Lepisosteus oculatus: one gene and its partners. The protein of the gene in region 4 interacts with the protein of the main gene of each other region in a pairwise test. Links are inferred from orthologs where the notes say so. Each region holds a gene or a part of one and is shown on either strand. Other genes may lie near its edges.

Evidence for each region.
Region 1: the proteins of rnf11a (region 4) and smurf1 interact in binary tests that used the Homo sapiens proteins (3 or more experiments, as listed by UniProt). The link is inferred for Lepisosteus oculatus from reciprocal best matches to the Homo sapiens genes RNF11 and SMURF1.
Region 2: the proteins of rnf11a (region 4) and stam2 interact in binary tests that used the Homo sapiens proteins (3 or more experiments, as listed by UniProt). The link is inferred for Lepisosteus oculatus from reciprocal best matches to the Homo sapiens genes RNF11 and STAM2.
Region 3: the proteins of rnf11a (region 4) and wwp2 interact in binary tests that used the Homo sapiens proteins (3 or more experiments, as listed by UniProt). The link is inferred for Lepisosteus oculatus from reciprocal best matches to the Homo sapiens genes RNF11 and WWP2.

What each region holds. Positions count from the first base shown.
Region 1 is NC_090714.1:10,267,272-10,275,227, reverse strand, and holds the start of smurf1 (E3 ubiquitin-protein ligase SMURF1), read right to left. Parts: upstream 3,139-7,956; 5' UTR 2,914-3,138; coding exon 2,859-2,913; intron 1-2,858. UniProt on the Homo sapiens protein: E3 ubiquitin-protein ligase that acts as a negative regulator of BMP signaling pathway. Mediates ubiquitination and degradation of SMAD1 and SMAD5, 2 receptor-regulated SMADs specific for the BMP pathway.
Region 2 is NC_090707.1:4,803,471-4,811,056, reverse strand, and holds the start of stam2 (signal transducing adapter molecule 2), read right to left. Parts: upstream 3,139-7,586; 5' UTR 2,880-3,138; coding exon 2,840-2,879; intron 1-2,839. Other genes in the region: hacd2 (very-long-chain (3R)-3-hydroxyacyl-CoA dehydratase 2), read left to right, coding at 3,805-3,929, 7,137-7,254.
Region 3 is NC_090715.1:12,307,391-12,314,798, reverse strand, and holds the start of wwp2 (NEDD4-like E3 ubiquitin-protein ligase WWP2), read right to left. Parts: upstream 3,139-7,408; 5' UTR 3,075-3,138; intron 1-3,074. Other genes in the region: diacylglycerol O-acyltransferase 1-like, read right to left, coding at 4,785-5,029, 5,813-5,875, 7,112-7,263. UniProt on the Homo sapiens protein: E3 ubiquitin-protein ligase which accepts ubiquitin from an E2 ubiquitin-conjugating enzyme in the form of a thioester and then directly transfers the ubiquitin to targeted substrates.
Region 4 is NC_090706.1:16,877,378-16,884,793, forward strand, and holds the start of rnf11a (RING finger protein 11a), read right to left. Parts: upstream 3,046-7,416; 5' UTR 2,744-3,045; coding exon 2,645-2,743; intron 1-2,644. Other genes in the region: rad23aa (RAD23 homolog A, nucleotide excision repair protein a), read left to right, coding at 3,913-3,978, 7,015-7,176. UniProt on the Homo sapiens protein: Essential component of a ubiquitin-editing protein complex, comprising also TNFAIP3, ITCH and TAX1BP1, that ensures the transient nature of inflammatory signaling pathways. Promotes the association of TNFAIP3 to RIPK1 after TNF stimulation.

The DNA.
Region 1 (7,956 bases), on a different chromosome or scaffold from region 4:
TGTTTTGGTTGCTATTGCACATTACATCAAGACAGTTGAGAGTTGCAACATGAAGATTATTAAATCCTGTAAAATCAAAGAACCAAAAATTAATTAAAACTGGCACACAAGGTCCATACCATTAACACACTTCTGAAATAAAAACCGCTCTATTAAAAAGCCGAGATTACTTTTATTCAGTAATTTTCATTAAAGCGTTTAATTTCCATTTTCAAATCGTCGTGAAGACTGAAGAATGGAAATGGCTGTAACTGTAAATAGTGTGGATCTTTCCAGCCCTTGCAATTTCACAATCTGCCTCCCATTGACCGGCACACATTGTGCTCCTCAAAAACAACAACAAAATCACAGCCATTTCAGGAACTATTCACCCATGAACTCTTGTAAGGTCAGCTGAAGAAACAAGAGCCACGGTCTGATGAGGGAACAATATTTCTATCAAACAGCTTGGGCACTTAATACTTAACCAATTACTTATTACTAAACTCAAATGACATTATTGCAAGATTTAAAAACAAATAAACATCCCCATGAAAGGTTGCCCCTGTGTAACACTGGTAAACTATGACAAAGAATCATTTAATCTAATTTTAGATTGTAAAATCAAAATGTAACTGTAGCTAGACATAAAAGCCTCTTCCTATTAGACTAAGTCAAAGATACTTAAAACAAATTAAATAACACTATCTTCTCTCCATACAGGGGTATGGGAACAATGGAATTCAGAATTTATTCGAAGTTGTCACTCTCCAAAGGTGTTTTTGTCTCCACTTCGGCAATTAAAAAATCAATTTACAGACGGCGCTTTTTACAGCTCTTTACACAAATAGCTTCAGTAACGTACTAACGACTAGAAACTTGAATGCTCTGCTGAAAGTTTGATTGAGGTTATAGTAGAAGCTGCAGTACAACATAATCCAGAAACAACCCATGTCTTTCATAGGTACTGTGTGACTGAAAGCTCTAGGCCTATACAGCAACCAATGGTCTTCTGTGTAAATGAATAATGTATAATGATGAATGGTGAATGTGAATGGTGAAATACACACACTTCTTAACTTGGATATCTTTGATCGAGTACAGCATTTTTGTTTTTCATCTTTCATATGACAAAGTAATGGTGACATTAGGAGGCTACAATACAGCCTATACTTTGCTTCGAGAAACAACTTCATGATTCTTACTGTAAAGCCAGTTTACTGCATCATTGTCAATCACAAACCGGCCATCAAAACAATTCAAGCTAAAGTACAAGATGGGCTGACAGTTCTATATTTGTGACCAAAAGATAAAATGACGACAAACAAAATGAATGCTCCATCAGCCCCAATACCCGTGAACTTTTAAGTTATCAGCTGGACAGTTACATTCTCCACCCCTGTCGCTGGATCTAGACAGAAAACAAAGAGTCAACCCGACAAGCAAAGCTAAACCATAAAACGCTTTGGGTTTTACGATTAACATTTTTTTGCCCCTAATACGCCCCAGTTTGCAGGCCAAGTCTGTCCGGGTTAAGAGTGCACTACATGAACCTATGGGATTTTTCATGCCTCACATTAACACTCCACGCAGACCGTAACAAAATTCTAACGCACTTTGTCAGATTCTAAAAGACAAACAATTAAAATAATAATGAGAATCTGAATCTCGGGTTCATGGCCGCAAGCTTCGCAGTTTGCATAGCAATGGTAGCAACTACCCACGTAGAGGAAAACGGCAGTGTAGTCTGTAAGAGTCTTTCACATGTACTGTAGCTGAAGGGCCCATAAAACAGCGATTAAACCCCATTCAGATTCCAGTACTAGTAGACAGTGCTGACACCCTCCGGACCCACAGGAACAGAAGACTGGTGCATTGACCATAGCTTCTCTACAGCACCTCAGCCCTAGTAATCCGTTCGGGGAAAAATGCGCCGACAATCGGGAATATATCTAATTTGGAGAACAATAAGACCGATTTACTTGGCCACAGATTTCTGTTAAGTGGAACTGAATGGGCATGGTCTCTGTTTTAGTCAGGCTGCAAAGCTGACAGGCCTAGATCATACACATGTATGTACAGTGCAGACACACACTTCACACAAAAGCAGGCTGCCAGGTCTGAGCGTCAGCTTGTTGCCTCCGTCTCGGCAGTTCCGAGTTTGAACTAGTCCTGCAAATCATTCACCGCTCTGCACAGCAGGGCTGATCCGGTTCCGATCCCGGCTCTGCCAGAGCAGCTTCCTCCCCGGAGCGAAATCAGTCAAGCACTTCGAAAATTAAAAGGACAGACGGGTTAGCAGGCGCTCTAATCAGGCAGGAAGGAAGCGACATCACCGCCCGAGTGCGCCTGTGCACAGTGTGTCCCTTCCATTTATTTACAGACAGCAGAATACATTGCAAAGGCAAATGACAGCATTAAAGCGGAAACGATCATAAATGCAAGGTGTTCACGATATGCAACTGATGCTGATGTCCAGCAAAAATGCATAAAAGTTACAAAAAAAAGGTTTGTAAGAGGCCGATGTAAATGTGATCCTGGGCCGTGTGCACCTACATCCCGTGCACAGATCGTTTGTTTGCAAGTCCTTATTGTACAAATGAATTCTGCCAAATCGCAGGAAACAAAAAAGTGGGCCAACCTCGTCAACAGCAGATCCCAGCAAGCCTGGTTCATCGCCAATGGTAGAGAAATTACCAGGTCTACGGCTATTTCACCTCGGTTGGTGCAGCAAGGGGTCTGCCCACAAAAGGCTTCCAATGAAAAACACCCGGCTTCTTCACCCACAACTAGGGTGTATGGCATTAAAAGTGGAGGTGCCGGACTTAAAAGACAAAACTGCAACACAAACCCCTAACAACAATGGTGTTTTTGCTTACCTGTCAGTCGGATTTTGATGCTAGACCCGTTCCTCCGAGTCCCAGGATTCGACATCACTCCGGAAAAGAAATAGCTAACTTTCCCTTAGGTCTGACCTAAGATTAAAACTTCACCACGAAGCTAGACTGTCGGGAAAAACAAAATACACCAAAACGGTGTTTCTAGAATGGCTTATCAAGGGTATATTTTTATTATTTCCTTCTCGGAAAATCCCCCAAAGCTCCCAGCTCGCATAACGCTCCTAAACATTTTCGAGCTCAAAGGCGTTCTGACGTCAGCGCAGCACGGCGGGACGTGCACGCACACGACTGTGGCGTCGAGGTGTCAGAGCGGTCCCGACTGCTCGGGACAGGGGGAGGCAGGGGCTGGATGACAAAGGAAAAGCGAGGAAAGGGGTCGTGTCCGTCTACTTCTTAAGAGAGAGGCGGCGCCCCCCAAGCTTGGTGTGTTTGCATTGTAAAAATCTCAATGTCAATGCCATGCCTAACAGTAAGTAGGCGTACTCACACGAACGCAACTACCTTTGTGCAGAAATGGGATGTGTGCCTCAATACGTTTAAATTGGCGTTTTACAACATTTCGGAGTATATGGAAAATGCATAGCTACATGTGTGGATTATGGGGGAAATTAATTTCCTAACTTTGGTTAACACGCCAGAATCCATTTCAAAGGGCGATAAGTAGATTTCCAAAACGTCTCATGTTTTTAGTTAGTACAAGAATACGTCTTGTGCTGTACAAAATGGAAACGTCCCATACACAATGACATCCGAAATATTTGTGTTACATGAATTATAGTCGTTTTAACGTGTTGTAAATTAAGTGTGTTCTGTATGACATCCTGGATCGACTTTCTCTTAATGTGATACCACTCTTGATGACTGCTTGGATTATTTTAATAGTCTTAGTTTTGATGTTTAAAATACTAAATACCCTAATATGCTTTTGTTTAAATATATATATATATTAAGAATTATTGAATTTAATATACTGAAATTCGCTACAGTCCAAAAAATGTTACGCACCCGTTATAATTGAGTAATGCAAATATTTCTTTAAGAAGTATTTAACGTCCTTAACCTGCCCGTCAGTACACTCATAAACATCTTTACCAAATACTATTGACTCAGCTGTTGTGAAAATTCGACGCCCTTAAGGATTTACAAATTGTATGCAGCAGGACAGCCGTATTTAATGTCAAGATGATGATACATTAATTTATTTCGGGGATCAGCTTCATAGCGTTTTTCAATTAAACTTATTTAACTACATAAAGTACATATAGAGGTCAATTTAAATAGCTTTATTTAATATAGATTTGCATCTTAATATTCACAAAGAGTAAACCAGCTCTTAAAGAATAATGTGATTTAGGAAATAATAGTTTACTGAAAACCATGTTTCATCCACATCAAAATGTACTTAGTGTAGTATAAGATTCTCAAGTACAAGATTTTTTTTAAAAAAGTTTGACATCTGCATTTGTTATATAATTGTATTGAATCCACAAACAAGTGAACCCCTGTATGTAATGAAAAAGTCTTAAAACATAAAAAGACATTCATATCCTCATTTGTAAAAGTATAATATTCCACACCATATTGGCAAACAAAATTTTGAGTGGGGATTTCTTTTAAATATTTTTTTAAAAATATCCAAGTTTCTTTCTCAAGTCAAATAAAATCACTTGCACCCACCTTCCAGCTAATTGATACCAGACACAAAGCAGGTTCTCATCAGGCTAAAACATTCTTTACAAGCTGTTGGGAAAGGGCATGTGAGTGCACCTACAGTAAAGAAACTTTTTAAATAACTGTGACTCATTTCCTGTCCAAAAACAGAATTATAATGGCGCATAACTTTGGTATCCGGCCTGCAGAAAGTCTGGTCATATGCTGATGTACAGTAGTTCTTTCAGTGAGTTTTTGATTTTGTGAAAGCACGCACCCAGTTTAATTTGGGCAATACACAAGACGACTACAGTTCCTGCCTGGTGGGACTGCTCCAGGCCCAGCGATCTGCAACAGTGTGCAAGACCATGGCAACTTGTAGAATCCCCATTACATGCTAATTGTTGCTGGCTGGTAGCCTGTTTCAGTGTAGCTCTATGGGATGCGTCTTGCAGTAGCTTTCATGGAAGAATCTTATGTAAAGTTCGGCTGCAAAAATGAGTTAAGTGACTGCTCCCCTATCAATTTAAAGGTGTTCTCCTAATTATATTGATAATTTTGTGGTATAACCACCTACATAATCTAAACACTGCAACTTATTTTTTTCCAGTCAAGCTCATCTATTGGTTAAACCAAAATAATGTGAACATCAAGGTTTTTCTGCTACTCGTCACTTCAATTTATGGAATTATTTTAGTAAACTAAATTAAATGCCTGATCTCAATCACTTGTCAGTCTTGATGAGTTATTTCACTTCCATGACTCATAACATGATTAAATGAGAAATGAGAATCTCCTCCATGAAGCACCTGCTCAAAAGGAATTTCGTAAAAAGAATTCTAAACAATAGTAAATCATTCCCTTATTCTCGCCTTAAGCTACACCATAAAACTTAAGAGTCTTGCTGGCAAGACATGAATCCTAAACACCATGCCATTGCAGATAGTTACTACATTCATAAAGCCACAGAGGAACAAAATGGCGTCTTTGACCTACATAATTAAAATGTAAAAATGTGCAACTAAAGAGTTAAGGGCATTTTATTTATCAACAGGTTGAGCTTCATTGTGGATTGCAAAGAATTAGCTATCAATGAAACAAAGGCTTCCTCTGACAAAATGTACAGGGAAACAATCCCCACAAGACAAACAAGGATTCTGACTGCCATACTGCCTGTGGTTCAAACACCGGTCAAGGTTTTAAACATTACTGCATTCTTTAGGAATCGTGAGAACCACATTCCACAAAATTAACCATATTTGAAAAATATTTAATTGGAAGAACTATACAAGCACATAGATCAGAATGAAAAAACACACATCCTCAGTATTTACAAATGAGTTGCAAAGAATAGATTGTATACATTTAGGTCACATGGAAAATGAAAAACAAAAATGCACATCTTTCTGATATCCAATTGCAAAATGCTCCCAAGTACTATATTTGCAAGGCTACAAACGCAATTGGAAAAGAGTAATCAAGCATACTCTATACTTAAACACATGGTTTCTGCATTTTACAAATTTGCATAGCTGGCCATAGATGTCTACTTGTTTATTTACAAATCCAGGCCAGAGCAGAAGCAAACCTACACACTCTAACCATATGTTCACTGAGCAAGATAACTTACTCGCAACACAGTCATTCAATTCAACATGTATTCAACTGTATCTGTCAAAAACATACATATAGAAGATACATGAAATATATAACAGGAATATGATTTTGCAGAACCAATACAATTTTAAAACTCATTGAAACCAGTGAGCATTTAGCAGTACATGTTCTAGATCAAGTAGTTTCCATTGCATAAACATCTGAGCTAATACAAAAAAAAACAGCATAAATTAGTCTCAAGTTAATGACACAGATGGATATATAGGAGCATTCCAAAGTAATACAATGGACTGGAAATAGGTTAAACAGAAAAAATGTAAAGAGATTGGATTACCCAACAATCAATCCAAGTCATATATATAGTATGCTGTATTGTATACAGTAGGAGGACCAAGGAGGTTTGAGGAAGAGATCCATATGTGGCACTATTGCCAAAGACATGCAGGCTGTCAGCACACATTATAGAATTGTATATAGGGGAAATATTTTTAATTGTATGACCCATTGTTAATCAGATATTGCATGAATGTAGAGTTTTAATCAATGCAAGTGCTTTAAAACACTGGGGATGTTTACCTTATTTCAAACTAACATTTCTCCCTTATTGTTCTAGTAATTACATTTACATAACCATAATTTGGAATTACCATGTGACCCATTTTACAGCTTCACAGTAAAGCCCCAATTGCATTACCATGTTAGACAAATTAGTACCGATTGGACAAGCACCTTTCAGTGAGGTAACCATTATCTTGAAGGTCCGTGTAGTCCCTTTGGCAGAAAGTCCAGAGCACCCTCACCATCTAATCCCAGCCCTCCCCCTTTAATATCCTGTCTGATTTGCTCTAGTGGTTCTGTTTGTTCAGAGGATTTGGATGAGATACAGAGTTTTTCCCCCAACCAGTATATTTGGAGCAGAGAAGCCAGACTGTGTTCCAAGATTACACCTTTGTAACTTGAGTCACTCTGGAGTTCCTCAAATCAAAATCGGAGTGTGAATAGATCCTGAAGAGAGTCAGGTGAAAATTCAGTTGCTACCTTTAAATTCTTAGGTGTCATCTATGCTTATTCCTTCAGGTATCCACATGGAAGGAAAATGGGCTTCTCTTAAAACAGAATTCAGATCAGGCGACATGGAAGTAATCCCACACATCAGGAATGGTAAAACACTTCCTGCAGTACCACATGTGAAGGTGAGGCTACTCAAAGTCTTACTGGGAATTTGAAAGCTTTCTCAGGTCTGCATTTTAATAGGTAGCCAGGATAGTCTTTCCATTGAGCAAGATGAACATTCCAGTTTGCCGAAGTGGAAGCTATCATACAACCTCTAAATGCAACTATTTAACCAGAATTCTCACTTCCAGAAATTTCTCAAGCATATCATAGTCTTCTTTTTAAGACAACTTGCATTATGAGGGATTTAAATAGCTTCACATATTTCACCTGATTTCTATCATGCAGAAATGTTAGTATTCTGAAAACCAGATCCCAGAGGATACAAATGCAATACTTTGCATTTCTTTTCCACATCGATAAAAGGATGTGGAATTTGGGTTACTAGTTAACTCCATGCCTATGTAACTCAGAAAATCACTTTTTGGGAATTCAACAGGATGGTTACACTTAAACTTTAATACCTTACTAATTTATGCATTAAGACATTTAGCCATGTTACCATTTAACAGAGCTTAGTGTTTAATAGCAAAGTCTTGCCAAGGTCTACAAGTTAAAAGACCTACAGTCAGTCATCCATTTTACTGAAAAACCACAACATGGAAGAAGCATGCCCACTATGCGAGCCATGATGGAT
Region 2 (7,586 bases), on a different chromosome or scaffold from region 4:
ATAAAACAGTCTCACGCCACCCGACATACTACCCCACTGTTTTTATAGGCGTTCATGTGATCTATTCTGCAAACACTTGCTTTAAAAACCTCCTCAGCAATTTCGCCTGCTCTATACTTCAGTGACAGAAAAAGACCCCTTTGCATTTAAAAAAAAACCACTCACTCAAATGGCAACCTTCTGGATACTTCATACAACTATTATTGACACTGTTTTCTGGGAAAAAAGGTACAAAAGAATAGAAAAGTATGTTTCCCCCATCCTTGTCCCACAAACTTATGGCAATTAAATGTTAGATTTAAAACTTTTAAACCAGGAGCTGGTTTTATCCATGAATACAAATTGAAGGCCCAAGAAAACAGCTCATCCCCAGTGACAAAGTTGTTAAGAGGTCTTCCATGGACAGGGCAGAATCACAGACCTTGAAAACTAGGCAATACCAAATGCCCCTTGTTGTTTTAAACAATGTGATGAATTGCAGTCGTGAAAGTAATCTGAAGGAACAGATTACATTTAGCACAGTCCTTTCCTACCACAGATTAGAGTTTTCATATTTATAGCCCACTGCAAACCCAGACCCTGAACATCCATTCACAGTTCTCTGCAGCCCGTTGTTATCCCACGGACAGACCGAGTGTACAAGGTGCAATTTCCAAAATAACGTGATGAACACCCTGAAGCAAACTGGAAGTACAAGAAAAATAAATGAACAAACCACGTAGGAGTTTGTCAACACATAGATGCCTCCAAATCTCTCCGCTAAAGGATCTGCACCTTTTTAAACACACACCTTTATGATGACAAGCAACTAAAGGTGGGCAATTTAAAACTACTCAAATAAAGAACCAATCCCTAGCTTAAAAACAGCTTTAGGTTTACCAGTAAATAAAAGTTGCCAAAAAGTATTCTGAGTTGACATACTCTGAAGCAGTCTATATTTATTCTGTTGATGTTTACAGTATGTGAAAAAAAAAATCAATGCAACCTGTTTATTCAGCTATATACAACATGCATTTCTTATGAATCACAAACATTCTTGACTGTAGATTTCCTCTTCAGATGAATTAAAATGGTAGTTTTTGGCACTACAAATGTAGCCAGACCCTCTGGAGCAGTGAAAGACAACTGTGCAAGTACATGTAAATATTTGACTAATTCTGTGTTATTACACCAAACTAGAGGGGGCAACATAGCTTGGTCACTAAGCTTTTGGACTCAATTATCAGGTTGTGGGTTCGAGGCCCAGCTGCAGACACTGCTGTGGTACCTGGAGTGAGGTGTTTTACCCCAGTGGCTCCAGTCCTCCCAGCTCTCTGAGTGGGGATCAGTCTTGCTGGGGGGGTCACGCCTGTGATGGCCTAGTGCCCTGCAGAGGGGGAGTCACAAGCTCTCTCTTCCGCTTAACACTACAGTGACCAGGCTGGGCTCTGTCCTGAAGCTGCTGTGGACTTTACCTTTCTTATTTATACCACATTACACTCATAGTACAGATTTCCACACAGTAAAATTCTTAATGTATTCTTAATTTGATCTTTATTATTTGAAAGATAGTTTGTAGTATTATATAACAATAAACATGCACGTTAAAACTTATTTATTTTGACTGACTACAAGCAACAGTGATATACATATTTGCTGCATTAACTTGCACTAGACTCTTAGTGCTAGTGATGTGGTTTTTCTTTCAGTGAAGTTCACTCCTGGTCCTGGAGGGACATCACTGAAAAAAAGGTCACCAGGTCAGTCATATTCCTCATCGAGCCCAGGCCTGGAAACACAGACCAATTCAATTAACTGAATTTGGTTCAGATACAGTCTCTCAGAGTGCAGGGTGGGATGGAGACGAGGTGAAACTGCAGCTCCCTAAGAGGATCAGGAGTTAATAACGTTCAGATGATCCATCCCTTCCAACTTCGGACCCAGTCATATTAAAACGTGTCATTTGGGGTCCAGGCAAATGAGTCACGAATTAGAGAGACATTCATAGTTTTACAAACCTATACGGATTTTTGTATTGCTTTGTGTTCTGAAATGTACCGGAAAGTTTTTTCACTACTTTTGGCTGCTACAATTAATAATGCACTCTAACGTAGATAAACAACATTTCAAAGTCAGGACACAACATATGAGAGACGGACCGATGGCCGCCTAGTTTTTCCGATAATCCTCAACCTAACGGTTTCTCACATCCAAAAATATACTGGGGTTTTTAAACGTCACCACCTGCTCAAACCTCAGACAAGCCCATGTAAAACAGAGCACACGATCTTTTTCTGAGCAACTCGGTAATGCTACGTTTATGTTTCAGTTGTATTAACGCTAAAAGATAACTCTACTTATTTAAGCAAATCACCTGACACATTACATCATCTTTTTTAACTCTGACACCGGTTTAGGTACCGTATGAAAGTCACGAGTTACGCTGTCGTGTCTTCATTAGCTAAACCAACTAATTCAACGACACCATTTCAGTTACAAGTCATTAAACGCCGACTGCAAATCCAAGCTGTTTTGGGAAACTCATTTCTTACCTACGAGAGACTGCTTTAGTGTGTTTTGTAATGTCAATAGAACCAGCTCGCTCGCCATCTACTTTACAAAGATTCTCGACATTTGCAAAAAAAAAATGTTCACTGGACGATTTGGTCGGCAAATTTCTTTCTTCGGCTACAGAAGTGAACTATCAAACTGCGAACCTGCGGGAAAGAATCGATTCAGTGATGATCTCGCTGTAATTCTACAGGCCAAGAAAAACATTGGGTGTTTAACCCACACTTCCTATCAAAACAAGAATAAAGAGGAAAGCTAGAGATGATGACGGCTTATTCACCGAACTCACCCACATCCTGGTCGAAAGGATTTTGTGAGAATAAGGGCATCTTGATCCCTCTGAAGCACAGCACGGCGTTCCTTGTTTTTTAATGTCTGCGGTGTAAATAGTAGGAATTCGCGACTATCCCTTCCTCATCCATCCAACTCTCCAACTTCCACTAGTTGCTCTTCCGTAAACCCGGGCCGGGCCACAGATGCGCCTGAAAAAAATCAGTGCCAAGTGAAAGGCCTTTGCGCTTCTACAGATTTTTATCTACGTCACCGGGTTCAATTTTGTTCTGGTCATTCTTCGGGACGGTTGTTGAAAAAGTTATTTTGATAACGTATTTAAAGGCGACCTTCTTCAGGCATCTCCGTGGGCACCCCTCCGATGGCCGCGTAGCGGCGGCGGTGCTGCCCCCACGCGGCAGGTAGTGGCATAAAAAACAGTGGAGAATAAAGTTAGACTGGCAGGGGGGTCGTCTCGTTTGTGGGATGTATTTCACGGTGTAAGAGTTCATAATCTTAAAAGGGGTAAACAAAAACTATCCTTTATTCCAGTGATATTGCATGTTTCCAAAAATTGCGCAGCCTGTAGCTGCGTTAACTGAAACCAAGCAATGTTAAAGGCACCTCGGTTTTAATTTTCGGAATCACACGACAAAACCGTGTGTTGATTCGCTCCTTCGAACCGACAGCCTCACTCCTTTCAAATAACCTGAAGACGACGCAGAGCGTTCAAGGCGCGCTGTATCCACCTACCCCCGTTTACAATGTGCTGAGCGTCTGCCTTCAGGGAAAATGACTGGAGGGGGGGGACCCACACGCACACAGCTATAAGAGCCCCTTTGAAAACCGCGCATTCCCCCCAGATGTCGCTGTTTGGAAAGCGGCCCCTGCAAGCGGCTGTCGGAGGCCCGCAGCCTGCCTTTCCTGCAGGGGTGAGCGGGCGGAGCAGCGCCGCAGTCACCCGCCGCACCGACCAGCTCAGCCATGGCGAGACACACCGCCGCGGCCGCGAAAGCCGCTCCCGTCGAGGCGCCTCCCAGGCGGAAAAAGGGACCGGGGGCACTGGCCACTGCCTACCTGGTCATCTATAACGTGGTCATGACGGCCGGGTAAATCAATCCGACGGCTAAACTTCGTGGGGGTTGTTGTTGTTGTTGTTGTTTTTTCTGTCACCGAAATGTGTCAGGTGTCCGCGTCCGAATGAATGAAAGACGCCGTGTCTCTGTGGTGACGGGCGCCAGCTCCACAGAGCAATTTTGTAGCGCAGGAGTTTGCAGAGGCGACTCTTAATGCATATATACACTCAACGCACCGGTGATTTGCGTGGGTTTTTTTTTTTCTCCCCGGTGCCTGTTTGACCTGTAGAGTTATTGCATGCACTTGACGCCGTTAAATCCTGTCACTCGTGTAGGGCGCTTCTCTGCCGTGCTTGCGACACCCCTGGCTTTCTGTGTGGATTAGCCGCTCGGGAAAGGGATAAACGCGTCCCTGCATTTTGTGGGCAGCTCTACCAGGGAATTATGTATTAGGCAGCGCTTTTTTTATTTCTGAGTGCTTGCCTTACATTGTAGAGAGAAGATGATAAATTCACAAAGGTCTAGAAATACACTCCACTTTTCATTTCCGATAGTCCTACGTTTTATTCGGCATTTACAGTATGAAAGGGTTCGCGTATTTAATTCTAATGGACGGTTCTACGGTTTAATCTCGTTTAATTTCTCAGGGTATCGGACTCTGCCGGAGCAAGGCAGAAGTCCTTAACTGGAAGTTTCTGCAACGCGCAAGTTGATTAATAACCGTGGAAATGAAAACATGATGCATTTTATTTTAGAAACGTTTGTTCATGCCCAGCATCCTATTATAAAATCCTATTATAATAGGATGCCTAACGATCCTATTATAAAAATATCAAGAAACATCGCGAATAAGTAGAGAAAACGACAGCAATGAAACCATTCTTCCTGCAAAAGAAGTTGCAAAACTGTTCATGTTAATAACAGTTAATATTTGAGCAAAACCGCTGATCTTTTTCAACTGCATACAGGTGTATGAATACAGATACAACTGAATTACTGGGCCGCTGCTCAGGTCACTGTGCTCTGGTACAAAGGGGCAAAGTTTCGAAAGCACTGGGCAGCCTTTGAAAGACATTCCCGTGAGTCTCAAAGCCTATGAAATGCAATGATTTTTGTTTGTTCGTGTAGGAAATTTGGAAATGCGTTTGTGCTTCTTGCACATTATTGTCTGGTGGCACAGTGGCATCGTGGGTTCGGTTTGCAGACTGGGATACCGTCTGCGCAGAGTCTGCATGAGTTTTCCCCAGGGAATTCTCCATAAAAGACGTGCTGGTTGCCCTGTGTCTGTGTCCTCTCCTAAGTGCGCTCCTGAGATGGAGTGCTGTCTCATCCAGTGTGTTTTCCTGCCTTGCGCCCATGATTCCAGGTTCTAAATTGCTGAGACACTCATGTGGAAGAAGTCAGTGTCTAATGATAGCTGAGTAATGATGCTTGGTTATCAGATGTAAAAAAGCTGCAGAGAATTGTGCCTTGCAACCCCAATAGATAAGCGATCTCTCTTTAAAAATAACCTCATTCAGAGCTGTAAATCTAGGATGCTAGTTCCCTGGAACATCTGGATGTGTTTTCAAGAGCAGATTCAGAGTTTGACTTTATATCCTGAGTTGGAGGAGATGTGAAAAATGATTAAAACGGATTTCATTTATCTGTTTTTTTCATCTCTGTTAACGATGAGATCTGTGTAACAATCATTTCTCATATTACATTCCCCTTTCTGAGTGAGTACAGTGTATTCCCAGCTACTAAAGCAAGCGATTCATCGGGATGATTTCATCCTATTGTAGGTTCAAACCGCAGGTGAGGTTGTGCTGTTGTACTTTTGAGCAAGGCGCCTCACCTGAATTGCTTCAGTAAAGTACCCAGCCATATAAATGGGTGTAGATATAAACTGCTCAGCCATAGAACGTAATAATGAGTAATTCTAGGAGGCAGCCAAGTCTTACCCAGGGGGCCACAATGGGCTAGGCACCTTGTGACCCTCTGCTACAGGTTGCCTGCTGGACTCGGTGTTATTGCCGTCTTCAAATCTTGTATTGTGCATTCTGGTGTTAAGAGTGTAAAAGGCTAGGTGATGAGTGTCAGAGATCGCTTCACCTCTGTGAAGCTGCTGGTGCAGTTCCCTCGATACATCGGGCTTGAACAGAAATTATATTCTCTATTACGGGTTCCAAAAGTGACAAAACAACTGCTGATTATAAACAGGATGCAGTTTCTTGTTCATTTAATGAAGCAGTCTGCTCAGGCCCTTCTTGATTACCTGGATAATTGAGGTTTACAAGTGGTAAGTAATCATTTTGTGGGTCTTGACTGAATTTGATTTGCAAAACTACCTAGTTTTAAGGTTTTGAAAGCATCCTCTTTTATAAGGGAGGGAATTGTTTTTTTCCCCTGTTTGGCAATACAGTCCTCACTTGATAGATCTGTCTTTAAAACAAGAAAATGCATGTTTTCAGCCTCGCCCTTCACAGGCTGCCTCCTCTTTTCCCCAATTACAGTACTCATATGTTGCATTGGTATGCTGTAGATCCTGAAGGGGCAGTTTCTGTGGTTAAACGACTATTTCACTCACATTCACAGATTAGACAAATGTCCATGTATAAACAATGCATAATTTTGCTATTGTTATTGAGTTTTATCAGAAGGCCAGAAAAATATAGTGCTGTTTGTTGTGTTTTGTACTGGTCTTTCATGCGAAGTGTCACCAGGTGTGAAACATTCCAGATGTTACGGGATGGCGTTTGCTGCCAAAATTTTAAAATCTTTCTTCCATAAGAGCTCTAAAATAATGACAATGGCTGGAATAGAGCAGGATGGGTTTAGCCTTTCATCTGCAGCCATATGGTTTTCGTTATCTGAACAGCTGTTTTTCCTCTTCTTAAAGCCCTCATAGGGTGTTTTCAGCAGAAATGTTAGTCTGCTTGCAACTCATTTTATTTCTTACATCCAGTAGGTTACAATTTATTGCCCCCGTTAAGTCATTCCTGTGGAATTTAATTCCTTCATTTCAAATTTCTCTGGAATGTCGTGTTGCCTTAACGTTACAGTCGATTTTAGTCTGGCGCGTTTTCTGCCACTACGTGACGTTTCACTTTCCCGTGGGAGAGCACGTTAAGGCTCGTCTGTCTGAACCGCAGGTCGAGCGGCGGACGGAGGGGGTGCGAATATTTCCCTCCCCGGAGCTGTGTGTCCAGGATCTGCTTTGCGAAACGCGTGCTGACGGCTGTTTTTTTTCTCTTTCAGGTGGCTGGTCATAGCTGTTGGTTTGGTGCGGGCGTATCTCGCGAAGGGCAGTCACCACGGCCTGTACTACTCCATAGAAAAGCCTCTGAAATTCTTTCAGACTGGTGCTCTGTTGGAGGTGGGTGGTGCTGAACTTTACACCTTCCATTTTTAACCAGTAAGAAGGAGAAGCCCGAGATAAGACCATTTCTTATCACGGTTACTCTTGGCTGAGACTTTGCATAGAACGGGTGCACATGATCCATTGGCTGGAGGATAGAGATAATGAGAACAGTGTGAAGTTTAGATAAGACTGAAATGCATCCCCTTGTGTCAGGTCGCAGTGATAGGTTGTATTAGCTATTGTCTCATAATCAAACAGGCTAACATTATAATGCAGTTAGATCCCCTGGATTAATGCATCTGTGTATCAGCTGTTATATACTTATACTCTGGACACTCCACTCAAAG
Region 3 (7,408 bases), on a different chromosome or scaffold from region 4:
TCTAACAAAGCCAAAACACATGGGAACTATTTAGCCAACATCAACAAACATCATAGATTTTAGTGACTAATTTCACAGGGAATAACCTGACGTGACTCGGAACACAACCACAAAGTGCTGCCGAAATACGCTGCCTGTCATGCAGACGGCACTACGGAACATACCTCCCCCTCCATACAAAATCAGAAAGGTGCAGAAAGGTTTTGACCCAGATAAAGCCGTTGCCCAGTGATTTAAATGGATCCAATTAACATACATAACATGCACAATGAGGTATATTTAGTGTAATTACTGGACCTCCATTCAAATACAAGGGTCAATGACCACAAAGATCAGGGCAGAATTAGAGTAATACGATATATCTGGATTTGCATAACAAAAATAGAGGTGCAGTGTTATCCCAGGCATGCCGATATCCAGAAAGGCTTCAAACTCATAGGCCTATATAGTATTAGCACTAATAATTCAAGAAGAATTAGAACTAAAAATACATGGGAGAAGTAATGCTCACTTTAATGTGGGAGTACTTTCTGTATCACAGGAACCACATTTTAAAAGCATATGGCTTGTCTTTGGTACGTCAACAACTCGCTTCTTAGTAATTAGCTCTGGAACAGCAGTAACAAGAGTCAAGAGGAGCTACAGCAGCGAGAGCTAATGTGTCAAATCACCATGTTAAAAGGTGGCTGTGCAGGATCACACCAAAGAAACACTATCATTAGTAAATTAGAGAAGTGGGAGATGCACAAGAACTCCTCCATCGACAGAAAATCCCTCAGGCAGCCAGTAACCAAACAGTCAATATGTTTTCTTATTTTCCACAGTTATGTCAGTCTTGCAAGAGGATGTAAACTGGAAACTGGACAAATCTGCTGCTTTGGACACATCAGCACTCATGGAGAGCACACACAGGCTACCTTACCTCAGACTCAAAACCTTCATATTTAAGATAAGATCACTATTATTGGCCATATACAATCTCTTGTATTAGGCATTTGTCTTTTCGCATATCCCAACTTGCTCATCATGAGACACACAGACAGGGAGAGAGGCTTGGGGCTCAGAGAGCAGGGTCTTATATGTTTTATACGATGCCCCTGGAGCAGCTGGGGTTAAGGGCCTTGTTCAGGGGCCCAACGGAGTAGGATTCCTCTGCCGGCCGCGGGATACGAACCGACAGCCTTCCAGCCACAGGCGCAGATCCTGAGCCACAGAGCCTCCGCTCCGCCCCCTTTAAACGATATAAAATCTTCTATATTATATTTAGCATGCCGTTTAGAAGGGCTTCTATTTAATTGTTTCTGCGTCTGCCCCTTTGCCTTCCTACTGCATTCCAAACTCACACTGTAATCGTGTAACTCTGCTGTCTTCTCTCATAGAGCACCTTTTTTCTTACTATAAAGCGATTTTGAGAAGCCAGTATTAAAAGCAACACATAAAATAAAGTTTATTGTTACTACCTCATGCTATGCACAGAAACTAGAATCAACCCAGTATGCAAGAAACCTGCTGTGAATCAAATACACACACCTTATAGTTAAGCCTCCTGCAGTATTGAATGTACTCAAAACTTCAGCCTGGCTCGAAAAAGGTTGTAGTGCCATCTGTTCAAAACTAGGTCCCATTGGAAAATAAGCAATTGGGCTTTTCAATCACCAGTCAGGTGACAGAAGCACTGTCTTTTACCACTGTTCCGACACAGACTACGTTTCAGCTTTATACGTTTTCCGTTTTACCAATCCTTTGTGAATCGGGCTCAAGGATGACAGATCCTTGCTTTAATAGAATGCTTTACCAATGTACTTCACATATAGGACCCCACTTCTTCCGCCACTGAAGCGCTACCGCACCTGGATGCCATGCGACAGCAGATCAGGTGAGGAAGCGATAGCCACAGACCTAATTAACACTCTCCGACACCAATGCCGCCTAATACTCACTTACGGATTAGGCGTTGCGTGATTGGACGGATTGTATGGGTAGAAATACCCCTTTGCATTGCGTCTTCAATTAGTTTAGTTATTTGAAGTCTTTACCACAAAGCAGGGAATGCACTGTGTGCGCCATCAATAAGTTTGAAGAAGGAGTCTGGCCCCAAAACCGTAACAGATAGAATTTATTAGATTGACTAAAAAAAATGACGAAAGCTGAAGAGGCTTATCAGCAGAACAATCGTCTTTCAGCATGCTGTCTACGAAGACTGTTGATCAGAACAGGGATGGTGGCACATCTTGGGTAACCCAGCATTAGTTTCTGTTTCCCCTGCCGCCCTTAGGACCGACCTCTGCTGACCATGAAATACCCTCCATCGCTCAAGAGACGCTTTGTGTACAAGCAGCCCCTCCTGCGAGTATTACGACCCAGGAGAGACTTCAATACCGCAGTCCTTTGCACAGCTGACGAAATTACATTTTCCCTTCGCAGGTGGAAGACGCCAGCCTTACGTACGATACATTTTCACCTGCACGCGAGGAAATCAATCAAGCAGTAATTTTATCCATCCTTTTAAAGAAAACTCCGGTATGGGAGATGAATTATATTGTAGTCGTATAGTTCTGGATGCCAAAAGGAGTCAGAAGAGAATGTTACAACACCGAACTCCCCATGACTAAACGGTGCGAAATGTTTCCTCATTTTTGCTTGCTAAATGCGGCAACAAACACACCTTAAACTGCGTGCTCCGAGAAATAAGGAAGAAACAGAGCTACAGTATCACTACGACTCGGGTTTCAGTCCTACCCACCGCATCTCTGTTCTAGCGTACGTTACAAACCCTGGACACCCCCGGGCACTGCAGACTGAACCCCCATATGAGCACGTCAGCCCCGCGTTTCCCCTGTATCGCGAATGGGAACAAAACAAACGCTGCTGTCTGTTACCAATACGTATCCGGACTAGAATAACACACACAAACCACAAGCAAGCGGGCAGCACTTCTAAGCACGGTAGCAAAACAAGCTTCAGTAATCTGACCCTCCGTAAGAGAAAAGGTGTCACTTTGGAGAAAGCCGGCTCCAGACAGAAGGGAAGCTTATCGCGGTAGAGAAATACAATTTCCAAAAGCTCTGGCGTACCTTGCTCCTGCTCAGCTCCGGTGCCTCTAGTTAACTTTCATTTCCGCCTCAATGTCAGAGTCACATGACTCTGGCTGGAGAGCCGCAAAGCCTTTCGGGAAACAGCGGAGTGCAGCCCGATCGTCCCTGGCTGGAATATGATTCTTCGTTTTATTCCGTGGTATTAGTAGGGACCCCTCAGTTTTAACAAAAACGAGACTGGAATCCGGAGTTGTTATGTATAGTGTTGCTGCAGATCCTCTAGTTCACCGTTTCGTTAAATTTCGCTAATTTGGTAACCTTTCCTAATGTATGTCAAAAAGACAGCTGAGACCATGACAATGTCTACCGATTAAATCTCTGGGAACCTCATCGTGTGACAGCATAGAGTTAGAAACAAAATCTTGTCATGGAAATTTGCCCCCGTTTAACTGGTACTCCCTACTGGGTCTACATTAAATGAAAATAAGTCTCTAGTGTCTACACCATGGAAAATAGAGTACCTCATGAGATATTTGGAAGATGGGACGAAGACATGGTTTAATCCAAACGCTGCTCATTATGCAGGGATGTCGGATTCAAATCCAGGAAGGTCATGGCAATGATTTTCATTCCAAATAATTTCTCTTCAATCCAAACCACCTCATTAAGGGATTTAACCAATGTACAGTACCAACCCCTCCCCTGGGTGCTGGTTCTTTAAAGAGGCTTAGAAAAACTGTAAACACAGTGGCCCTCCAGGACTTTATGACCCTGTCATAGAGAATCACAGCTGTTCTGGTTATTCTTCATTCTGAGCTCTTTATTTCTTTGATGAATAGGTTAAGTACACAGCTGGTCCCACAGCAGCTGCCAATAAGGATTAAAGTTACCTTTAAAGTTACAAAAAGTTACAAAGCAGTAGCTCCCCAAGGAACCCTGGGAGAAGGATCTCTGTCTTATACCAGGGGTAGGCAGCCTTGACTCCTCCGGTCCAGGCTGTAAGAGCCTCATTACTGACTTGGCCTTTACTTGCTAAATTGATCCATGAGCTGAAGTCTCTTTAATAAATCAAGGATGATCTGGAATAAACACGTGATGCAGACTGGAATGGAAGCCCCAAGGATGCCTTTTGTCACAGAGGCACACTGGGACCTACTGCTGCTCAGTCCATGACTGTAGGTAACCCAGACAAAGGTCCTCTGCAGGATGCAGTTTTCTAATAATCCAGTGACTGGCAAAAGTCCCATTTCACATCTTCCCAATGTCTTAAGAAGCTTGACTCCAACAGCCGTAGAATATACACAATCAACTACGTTTCACAGAGGTCATCATGACTGCAATTTATCCCAGAAATATGCTTAAATAAAACAACTTCTCATTTTTCTTGTGCTAATACCAGTGAGTGCCTTTTGTCTCGAGCTTCAGTTCACTGCAGTCCTTGCAGTGCAGGCCATATTTCAGACAGTGCTGCCCGTTTCTCCCATGTGTGAATAATGAGACTGCTGTGCTTTGCACCCCTGCTCTCCTGTAAAAAGGACAAGGGCTGATTTTGAATGACAGTTCAGATCTTAGGCAGCGAATGCCCAACAGTTACATCAATTTGACTATTAACAAGTATGGCATTTGGAATCAGGATTAACATCAATGACTTAAATGGGTGTCAAGCAAACATTTAAAGGAGCATAAGAATGGCAAAACACTGAATCCAGAAGCCATAGTTACAGAGCAGAAGAGCACACATGGCAGACGCTAGACGAGACGGGGCATTGCTTTCTCCAGGGGAGAAGCCTTTAATCGGCCGGGTTTCCCACAGAGCTGGTGGTCTAGAGTGGTGGTAAAATAAGCGTCCAGGAGGAGTTTTCCTTGTTCAGGATGTAGTAGTCGTGGAAGTAGGTCATGACCGCGATGGGAGGGCCCAGGAGCATGCAGAGCCACACCATGCCGTTGCCATAGTTCCCTGTGAAATAGTGCCCCAGGAAGTACGCCACTTTGATCTGGGGAGACAAGACTCTGGAGTGAGGCACTGTGGTTTGACCTTCAAGAAATGAAAGAATATGTGAAGCAGACATACTACAAAGGAAAACATGCACAGTAAGCTGTCTGATTGCATAAACAGCCTTACATACAGTGTCAGACATAATTAGGAAAACAGAGGACAAGATGGGTATTTCATACATGTAAACATGTTAATGTTTTAGTTAAGAAAGGATACTCCTTTCATCAGATCATAGCACGGTTTTTCACACAGTGCTAAAATGCAAGATCCCAAAGAGAGTTTGTGAAACAAGTACTTCTGACAATGGAAACGGTTCCAAAGTGAGTCTCTGTGTAATTTCTTTGCGTTAGAGTACAGGGGCTAATGTTTCTGCTAGAACCTCAAGATGCACATGAACACACAGTGGTCACAGGGGGGTGTCGCTGCTCAGAAATCTTTCCTGAGATGAGGCAAAAGGACAATAAGACAGGAACGGACAACAGACATGAAAACAGATGATCAAATCTAATCAAGTGCTCTTTATAGGCATGTCTGTTGAGCTGTTTGGCACTAGTCAAAGGCAGTTTGAGGGTGGACTGGTGAGCAGGGTGTTTGCCTGTACCACAAACACCCTGGATCAATGAACAAATTCAGAGCAGTCACTTGTCAATGACAGTCACAGGGACAAGCAGGACAATTTGCACATGTGCTAGGATATAAGGCTTTTACTACATTCTGGAGAAGTCTGTAAATTCCAGTACAAAGAGTAACACCTGATTTATCAAGCAAATTCAGATCTTACCTCTAGAATCATGATGATGAAGATCCAGAGGCGAAACATCTGCAGAGGTACAGCAATGAGGAACTGTGAAGTACAATATCAGACAGAGAGGGAGGATTGAGGTCTGGATTGAAGTCAGGTGAACTGAATGACAATAAGGAACAGTTCAGTCAGCTGAAAGACACGTCTCTGATCCAAACAATGCAGATCATGGAAATTCACTAATGCAAGAGTAGCTTTAATGCCCTTACATGAAATCCACTCTTTTTAATCAGAAATTCCATGTTATCCATATCAGAAGCTGTTAAACCATGTACTTTGGAGTTCTGCCTCTCTACATCCATGGTACTGTAAGTCATAATGTAAAGGTCAACATGTGATTCATGTTGAGATGAGCAGGTATCACGATGCTATAAAAAACACTTTAAACTCTTCCCTGAGACTTAAAAATCTTTACCCAGTACAGGACAGTTATCCACTTACTACTGAAACAACAGCCATTAGAAACAGATCAGTGCCAATATTCAGCTTCAACAGTCTTGATGTTGTCGTTTTGTTAAGTTGTGTTTGTTAAGCTGATTTTTTTTTTTTGATTCTTGTGAAGTATGGTTTTCTTTTTCTTTTTTTTTACAGACCAAGAACAGTGATTCCCCAAGTCTTTTGTTACCTTGGTGAGAAAAACCTGAAACTGAACAGGATTTCAGGAGAGGCCACAACAGACGTGAAAGAGACTGAACCAACCATTTGCCTCAGAATAAAGAGAGCAATCTCCTGGGTGCAGGAAGCTTTGTGGGTCCACATCTACAGTTCCAGGTTAGATTTCTTATATAATATAACATGATAAGATTCCTTTATGAAACTGATATGTTCAAATAACACAATGCTCCTGTCCTTAATTATCATTAATTATAACTATTATATAACTACCTTATTCTTCACACAATCTTTAGCACTGAATGACTTGTATAAAAATGCACAGGTACACAGTTTTGTATCCCTTTGGTGCCCCTGATCTAGCTGACCCATAACTCATTCTCATAGAACAACACACATCATCAAAGGAATATCACCTGCTCACAAATCAATAGAAAAAAATGCTATTTAGTGTGCCGTGACGCATTAGTATCTAAACAATTCCTAGGGATTTAGACATGTCCGAGCTCCTGCACACCGAAGATTCCTGACATGAATGATCTCCTGCATCCACAGACTGTTCTTTCCCCGTGCACGGTGGACAGCACGATGTTGCAAAAGCGAGAAGGCAGAAAAAAAGCAATCAGGTGAAATGCAGGGTCAGAACTGTAATGGTCTTTCCATTACGTCGTTTGTTTTGGGCAGGTGGAGAGAGTTGTGGATGAATGTCTGGTCCCCCAGGGCGTGGTACCTCACACATGGCCGCAGACATCACAAAGACGGCCAGCTCTGCGTGCTGAGGGGCCAGTCTCCTCCGGAGCAGGGGTCTGTACAGGTGTCTGGCGGACAGAGGAGAGCAGGTCATCACCCAGCACGTGACCACACACTTCCAGCTTTGCTGCAATTGCATATCTCTACCTTTAATTTGATATCTGACCATATGTCACAATATAGTGACAATATAGTGGAATAATCCTATGCTGC
Region 4 (7,416 bases):
ACAGTCAGAGCCCAGCGTACAGGAGAGCAGGCACAGGGCACAGTCAGAGCCCAGCCTACAGGAGAGCAGGCACAGGGCACAGTCAGAGCCCAGCCTACAGGAGAGCAGGCACACAGGGCAGTCAGAGCCCAGCCTACAGGAGAGCAGGCACAGCGCACAGTCAGAGCCGAGCGTACAGGAGAGCAGGCACAGGGCACAGTCAGAGCCCAGCATACAGGAGAGCAGGCACAGGGCACAGTCAGAGCCCAGCCTACAGGAGAGCAGGCACAGGGCACAGTCAGAGCCCAGCCTACAGGAGAGCAGGCACAGGGCACAGTCAGAGCCCAGCCTACAGGAGAGCAGGCACAGGGCACAGTCAGAGCCCAGCCTACAGGAGAGCAGGCACAGGGCACAGTCAGAGCCGAGCGTACAGGAGAGCAGGCACAGGGCACAGTCAGAGCCCAGTGTACAGGAGAGCAGGCACACGGGGCACAGTCAGAGCCCAGCCTACAGGAGAGCAGGCACAGGGCACAGTCAGAGCCAAGCGTACAGGAGAGCAGGCACACAGGGCACAGTCAGAGCCCAGCGTACAGGAGAGCAGGCACACGGGGCACAGTCAGAGCCCAGCGTACAGGAGAGCAGGCACAGGGCACAGTCAGAGCCCAGCCTACAGGAGAGCAGGCACAGGGCACAGTCAGAGCCCAGCGTACAGGAGAGCAGGCACAGGGCACAGTCAGAGTCCAGCCTACAGGAGAGCAGGCACACAGGGCACAGTCAGAGCCCAGCCTACAGGAGAGCAGGCACAGGGCACAGTCAGAGCCCAGCCTACAGGAGAGCAGGCACAGGGCACAGTCAGAGCCCAGCGTACAGGAGAGCAGGCACAGGGCACAGTCAGAGCCCAGCGTACAGGAGAGCAGGCACAGGGCACAGTCAGAGCCCAGCGTACAGGAGAGCAGGCACACGGGGCACAGTCAGAGCCCAGCGTACAGGAGAGCAGGCACAGGGCACAGTCAGAGCCCAGCCTACAGGAGAGCAGGCACAGGGCACAGTCAGAGCCCAGCGTACAGGAGAGCAGGCACACAGGGCAGTCAGAGCCCAGCCTACAGGAGAGCAGGCACAGGGCACAGTCAGAGCCCAGCGTACAGGAGAGCAGGCACAGGGCACAGTCAGAGCCCAGCCTACAGGAGAGCAGGCACAGGGCACAGTCAGAGCCCAGCCTACAGGAGAGCAGGCACACAGGTGCACACACACACACGCGATAAAACAAACAGCTGCACAGGGTTATTTTTAGCCCTTACAATATCATATGTGTTATTCAACACATGAAAATAGAGGAAACGTCTTTCCCCCCCAGGTACTGTGCTTCAAGCCTGAATATCTTTAGAGAGAGGGTTCCCAGCTCTCTTACACCTGCAGTCCTACAGGTTATCTTGACCTTCTCAACGTCCAAAGAAGTCTAACTGGAACCATTTCATTCTTCTCTTTCTGTGCTACAATGCAGACAATGTTTAATGAAACAATGTTTGCTTGGCAGTGTGGGAATTTAATCAATAATGACAGATAGGAGCACAAGCATGTTGGACCACTAAAGTCTAGTCTACCAACTGGACTGTAAATATCCTCAGTGTTTTGGAAGAAACGTTTTTCAACTAAATTCTGCATCTAGCAGTAGGTGTGTTTCAAGGAATCTTCTGAAGAAAACTGCTCCAGATATTTAGACAGTACATCCAACAGTGAAAAGCACAAACCGTGAAGATATGAACTTTAATTTGGAGTGTTTCAACATGTCAACTTCAAGAAATACAAACAGAAAAAGGCTTAAAGCAAACCATACAAATTAGAGGAGACCTGAATTTTTTCAATCAAATCCCATTATAAGCCCCGTCTCAGCCCAACAGGACGGAAAGGGTAACCCTGCTATGTCTATCAGCTGGTCTGATCAAAAGGAACTAAGAGTTTGAATCAATAGATTCTATTCCCTGGAGTGTTGGTATGGACCTTCTCCTCAGATCTACATCACAATAAGCATAAAGAGTTGTTTTTATCACGCTTGGCTGCACTGACAATTTAATTTTATTTTTTAAAAGGGGGTAGCAACACCAAGGCGATAAAACGTTCTTAGTCTTGAAAGCGTTGCAGACGTACTCGGTATGCTATTGAAGTCAGACATTTCATTTTAATTTACTTTGTAAATTAAATTAAACCCCTGTAATCAACATGCAACGGCCTCTTAAAGTGTAATAAACTGTCGCAGTGTCTGCCACACAACAGACAAAGCAACGCGGGTTTTTTGTGCAGTAAATGTGTAGCACTCTTAATTCTCTCGGGATTCACGTCTCAAAAAGAGAAGAGAGGTTCTCATGAGAATCGTCTCAAAAGCACGTTTCACGGAAAACTAACAGAAAGGAAAAAAAGCCACATTCCCTGGAGCAGAAATAATTGTGTACCAGTTTTCTCGTCTTAACTACACTTCTGAACTACCTAAATAAATACTCGTTAATTCCCTCGCCTTCGGAGTTCCAGCATTTTAAAAATGTATAAATTATACAGGCGTTCGTTTTTGTTTGGGCTTTTCCAGACGCCAGCCTGAAGAGCTCTGTTCGACCACTCGTCCTCTCCCAGCGAATCCCCGGTCTGTATTTCACTCGTTCCCCCTTTACTGCACCTGATAGGGCGGCGGTGGCTCTCCGGGCAAGCTGGCCCCCTCCGACTCGTTCAGCAACGACAAGTCGTCCGCACCCTGCGAGGAGAGGCAGTTCCCCATCGAAGTGGACTCGGGTGCACTGGCCGAGAGAGTTGCAGAGGGGCGGCTAAACGAGACCCGTCTTCCCCCGACACCCGAAATATGGGCAAGGAAAGCTAACCCGCTGCTAAATCACGCCTATCCATGAACAGTTTTCTGGCTTTCTTTCTTGTGCTTGCAACCGAATCTCTCCTAGCCAAAAATAAACCCAAAAAATCGCCGGTATTTATATATCAGTTACATATCCGATTCACTTTAAGTTAGTATTATAGGATCAGTCCACCCCATCTCCCCTTTGCTCTGTTTACAAACTGCAAAGGCCGGAAATGACGTTTAGGTGCTTTGTGGGAGTTGTAGTTCTGAACAAGCACACAAAAATAAATTTTAGGGGAATTAGTACTTGACTGATATTACTAGAAGTCATTACTGTGTTCTGCCATTGTCTGTTCGCTATATTATTGTTGCATTTGACGGACTTCTATAGCTAGGGGGACGCAGAGTAACAAAATATATACAAAAATATCATAACACTAATTCGATCTTGTCAGATCTCAGAAGATACGCAAGCTTGGGTCAGGTCGGTAGTACTGCGATGGGAGACCTCCAGAGAAAAACAACCTGAAAAATAGAAAGTTCCAGTCTGGCACGATTCCCTTCCCTGAATACATAAAATACGGGATGCGTGTCTTTTAGTTTTATGTATTTATTCAACACAAGGATTATTTATCACCGCAAGCAGGTACCAAAATCAGGCTGAGCAGAGCCTTTTGTCTCCGATAGACCTTACTGTCGTCACTGGACACTACGGCAATTGGTACATCGTTGTCTATAGTGCCATTTATGGTATGTTAAGTTTAGTTCACGGAATCAGACTTCTGACCACGCAGTTATACGAAAATGACACCTAACTTTACAAGAACCACGTGTTTAATAGCGTTCTATTACCCTCAACTCGAGTGATACCCACGTCACGTGACAGAGATGACGCCGGACCGTCTGCCCACCGCGTTCGCTTCATGACGTCATCACTAAGATGGCGGCAGTGAGTTGATGGCTCGTGTGTGCTGTTTTTTTCGCCAACCTCATCTACCAGCGTGCGAGTTATTTCAGATCCAAATTGACAGGCTGTGTTTCAAATATATAGTTTTTTTAGAGAAGTTTTGGACTGACAGATCGGAAACAGAAGAAAGATGCAAATCACTCTGAAGACGCTGCAACAGCAAACTATTCAAATTGACATAGACGCAGAGCAAACGGTAAGCGGCTGTAGGTTGTTGAATGACAGCATGACTGAGGCATTAATATTACCTGTTAAGCCGTACTAATGCCTCAGTCCATACAAACCCAAACACGATTTGATGAAACTGAAGTGTAACGTTAGATATTTTTAAAACAGTGATGGTTGGTGATGGTTTTCTTGGCGGATTTAGACTTAAGTCGAATTTGTCATTTTCAAAGTTGACAGTTTCGTTTCGCCGAGCGATCGCATATGCTTTAACAAGTTTCTTGAAAAAAACCCATTGGACACCCCGAGCTAAAGGGATATCCTCAGCTAGAGTTGGCCCTCTCGGTTTGTCGGAAGATTTGTACATGTTCGTTTTCTTGTCCGAGTCTTCTTTAAAGAATAATGTTACTACACGTAAGACACCGCATACGTTGACACATAATTCCCAGTAAAAGCGTTCCACTGAGTTGTTCCAATGAGTAATTCGGTGTGTTTCATTACAGGAACCGCGTATACAATTATGAAATAATTCTGCGGAATTAAAGTGTCGTTTCGGTACTTTAGTTATGATGCTTCGTGCGTGAACAGCAGAAGTCATACGCCACGTGACTCTGTACAGCGGTTTCTTCATCACATGAAAGGCGGTTCCTTAAAAACGATAAGAAACGATTGTTATGGTAACAGACAGACAGAAACGCAGTTTAGGCCGTTGTTGAGTGACTGTTACTAACATAGATATGGGTGACATTGCATGTGTAAAGGAGTTTAGAAAAGAGACCGAAAAGGCATGTTTTAATGCTCATCATTCGCAAACATGACATCATATTGAAGACTTAATATTTTTTAAAACTCCCTCGTCTGAGACCCATCTGCTTTTCCCAGTTAAAAAAAAACATTAGTGTACACAATATACACACACTACTGTACGATTTTAAAAATACATTTAATTCTTTGTGTTTTATAAAAGGTAACCTCTTTTGGGAAGTGAACACATTTAATAAAAAAAAAACATTTTTGTACAGCTCAGCAAACATCGTTTCAGAATAAGAGGCTCCCAAGCAAAATCACAACATCACATGGCCACACTTAGGAGCGTGGAAGAGATGACAGGCCTGATGTTGTGCTGGTTAACAGGCCTTGTGAGGCATCAGGCAAGACAGAGTTGTGCCTGTACAGCTCCCCTGTTTCTAAAGACCAGGAGAAATGCTGGCTGAGGAGCTTCCAAAGGGCAGGGAGGGATGAATGGTGTTTTCTCGTTGCTAACTGTACTCAGGTTCTTAGAAATTTCAGAAAAAAGAAAAGACCCTTTAGCCAGCCCTGTTCGCTTGGCAGCTACTTGCGAATGGAGTAAAGTAAATGTCAGGCAGGCAGGTTTTGAAAGCTGTGCTGGAAACCGCTTCAGACACCCGCCACTCTCCTGGCTCCTGAAGGAGCCCTTCCTGTTCTTGTTAGTATAGCCTCCATTTTGTGTTGTCCTTGATCTGGAATCACCAATCGTGTGTGGCTTTTCTCATCTCGGCTCTCAGCTACAAACCCCCCCACCGCACACAGGGGAGGATGTGGAAATGTAGGCAGACTCCTCCACCCTGCCCGCATTGGAGACACCCGTCTTGTAACACGTCAAGGGCCGTGAATCCCTGTGCATGAGGAGAGGCATGTCCCTCACCTACAGCACAATGAGCCAACGGCATCCTGGCCAGCTAATCCGACCCTACCCTTGACATCCCCTTGTGTGCCGTCGCACGGGGAGTCCCAGCCACAGTATTTACTCACGACTGCACAGCAAGACACAGCAATAACCGCATCATTAAGTTTGCCGATGACACCACTATAATAGGACTGATCAGTGATGATGACGAGTCCACTTACAGGGATGAAGTTGTACAGCTGCTGAGGTGGTGTCATAGCAATAACCTGGACTTGAACATAAAGAAAACGAAAGAGCTAATAGTGGACTTTCGGAGACACAGGCCACACACTCACAGCCCACTCAGTATTGATGGAACGGAAGTGGAAACAGTCACCAGCTTTAGGTTTTTGGGAATTCACATCTCTAAAGATCTAACCTGGACTGTGAACACTGACTCTATCATGAAGAAGGCTCAGCAGCGCCTTTATTTCTTGAGGTGCCTCAAGCGATGGGGGATGCCAACACATGTGTTGGTGAACTTCTACCGCTGCACTATCGAGAGCGTCCTCACCAACGGGATCACCGTGTGGTATGGCAACACCTCTTCGCGAGAAAGAAAGGCACTGCAGAGAATGGTCAATATGGCCCAGAAGATCATCGGCTGCGGTCTCACCGAGATTAAACAGCTCTATGAGGACCGCTGCCGTGGTAGAATTCTGGCCATCACAGAGGACAGTCACCACCCCGGGCATGAGCTCTTCACCCCACTGCCCTCAGGCAAGAGATATAAGAGCATACGGACACTTACCACTAGATTCTTCAATAGCTTCTATCCACAAGCAGTGAGACTGGCGAACACATTTAGCCATCCCCCTCGGACCACACCTACACCATCACCATCTACCTCATTGTAATTTATTAATTGTACGTCTCCAGTCATTGTTTACACGTCTGTATTGTTTACAGTCAAACTGTCTGCATGTTTACTTGCACATTGTCTATTGTTTGTTTGTACATTGTCTTGATGCACTGTTTGCACTTTGTTTTGTTTTTTACACTTGTTTTATAATCGAGAGACTTTCTGTAAGTAAGAATTCCATTGTACCAGTACCGGTTACATATGGCAATAAAGTTCAAGTTCAAGTTCAAGTTCAAGTTCAGTAACATGACCCAGGCTCGAACCCGTGATCATGGAGCTGAATCTGCAGGGTGACGCCTTGCTAAAGGGCACTGCGGGGGAGAGGCATGTCAGAGGGGCTTCCCCCCTCCTCCACAGGAGAATCAGAAGTTGCTGCCTTAACACAAACTCACAATCGGACAACTGGAGATTCCAAATCCTTGGGGATGGAGATCGAAACGGTGGTTGGCGATCCCAGCTCGCTAAAAAGAAAAGCGGAGGAGTGGTCCATTTCCCGAGCTGGTGGTTTGTTTCTCCAGGTGAAAGCCCTGAAGGAGAAGATCGAGGCGGAAAAGGGGAAAGAGAGCTTCCCCGTGGCGGGGCAGAAGCTCATCTACGCCGGGAAGATCCTGCAGGACGACACGCCCATCAAGGACTACAAGATCGACGAGAAGAACTTTGTGGTTGTCATGGTATCAAAGGTAGGGGGCGGAGAGACCCACGTCTTACTGCTTGAGCCTTGGCGTGAGGCCACAGATATCCCTAAGGATGTCCCTACGGACACTTAGGGTTCCTGTGAATTCTGAAAAAAGTGGAAAGTCTGGAATAAATGAAAAGGAGTTTTTGAAATCCTGGGAAATATAATCTGGGTGGTAAGGTGGTGCACTGGTCAGCATCGCTGCCTCACAACACTGGGGCCCTGGGTTCAATTCCTGGGGTGC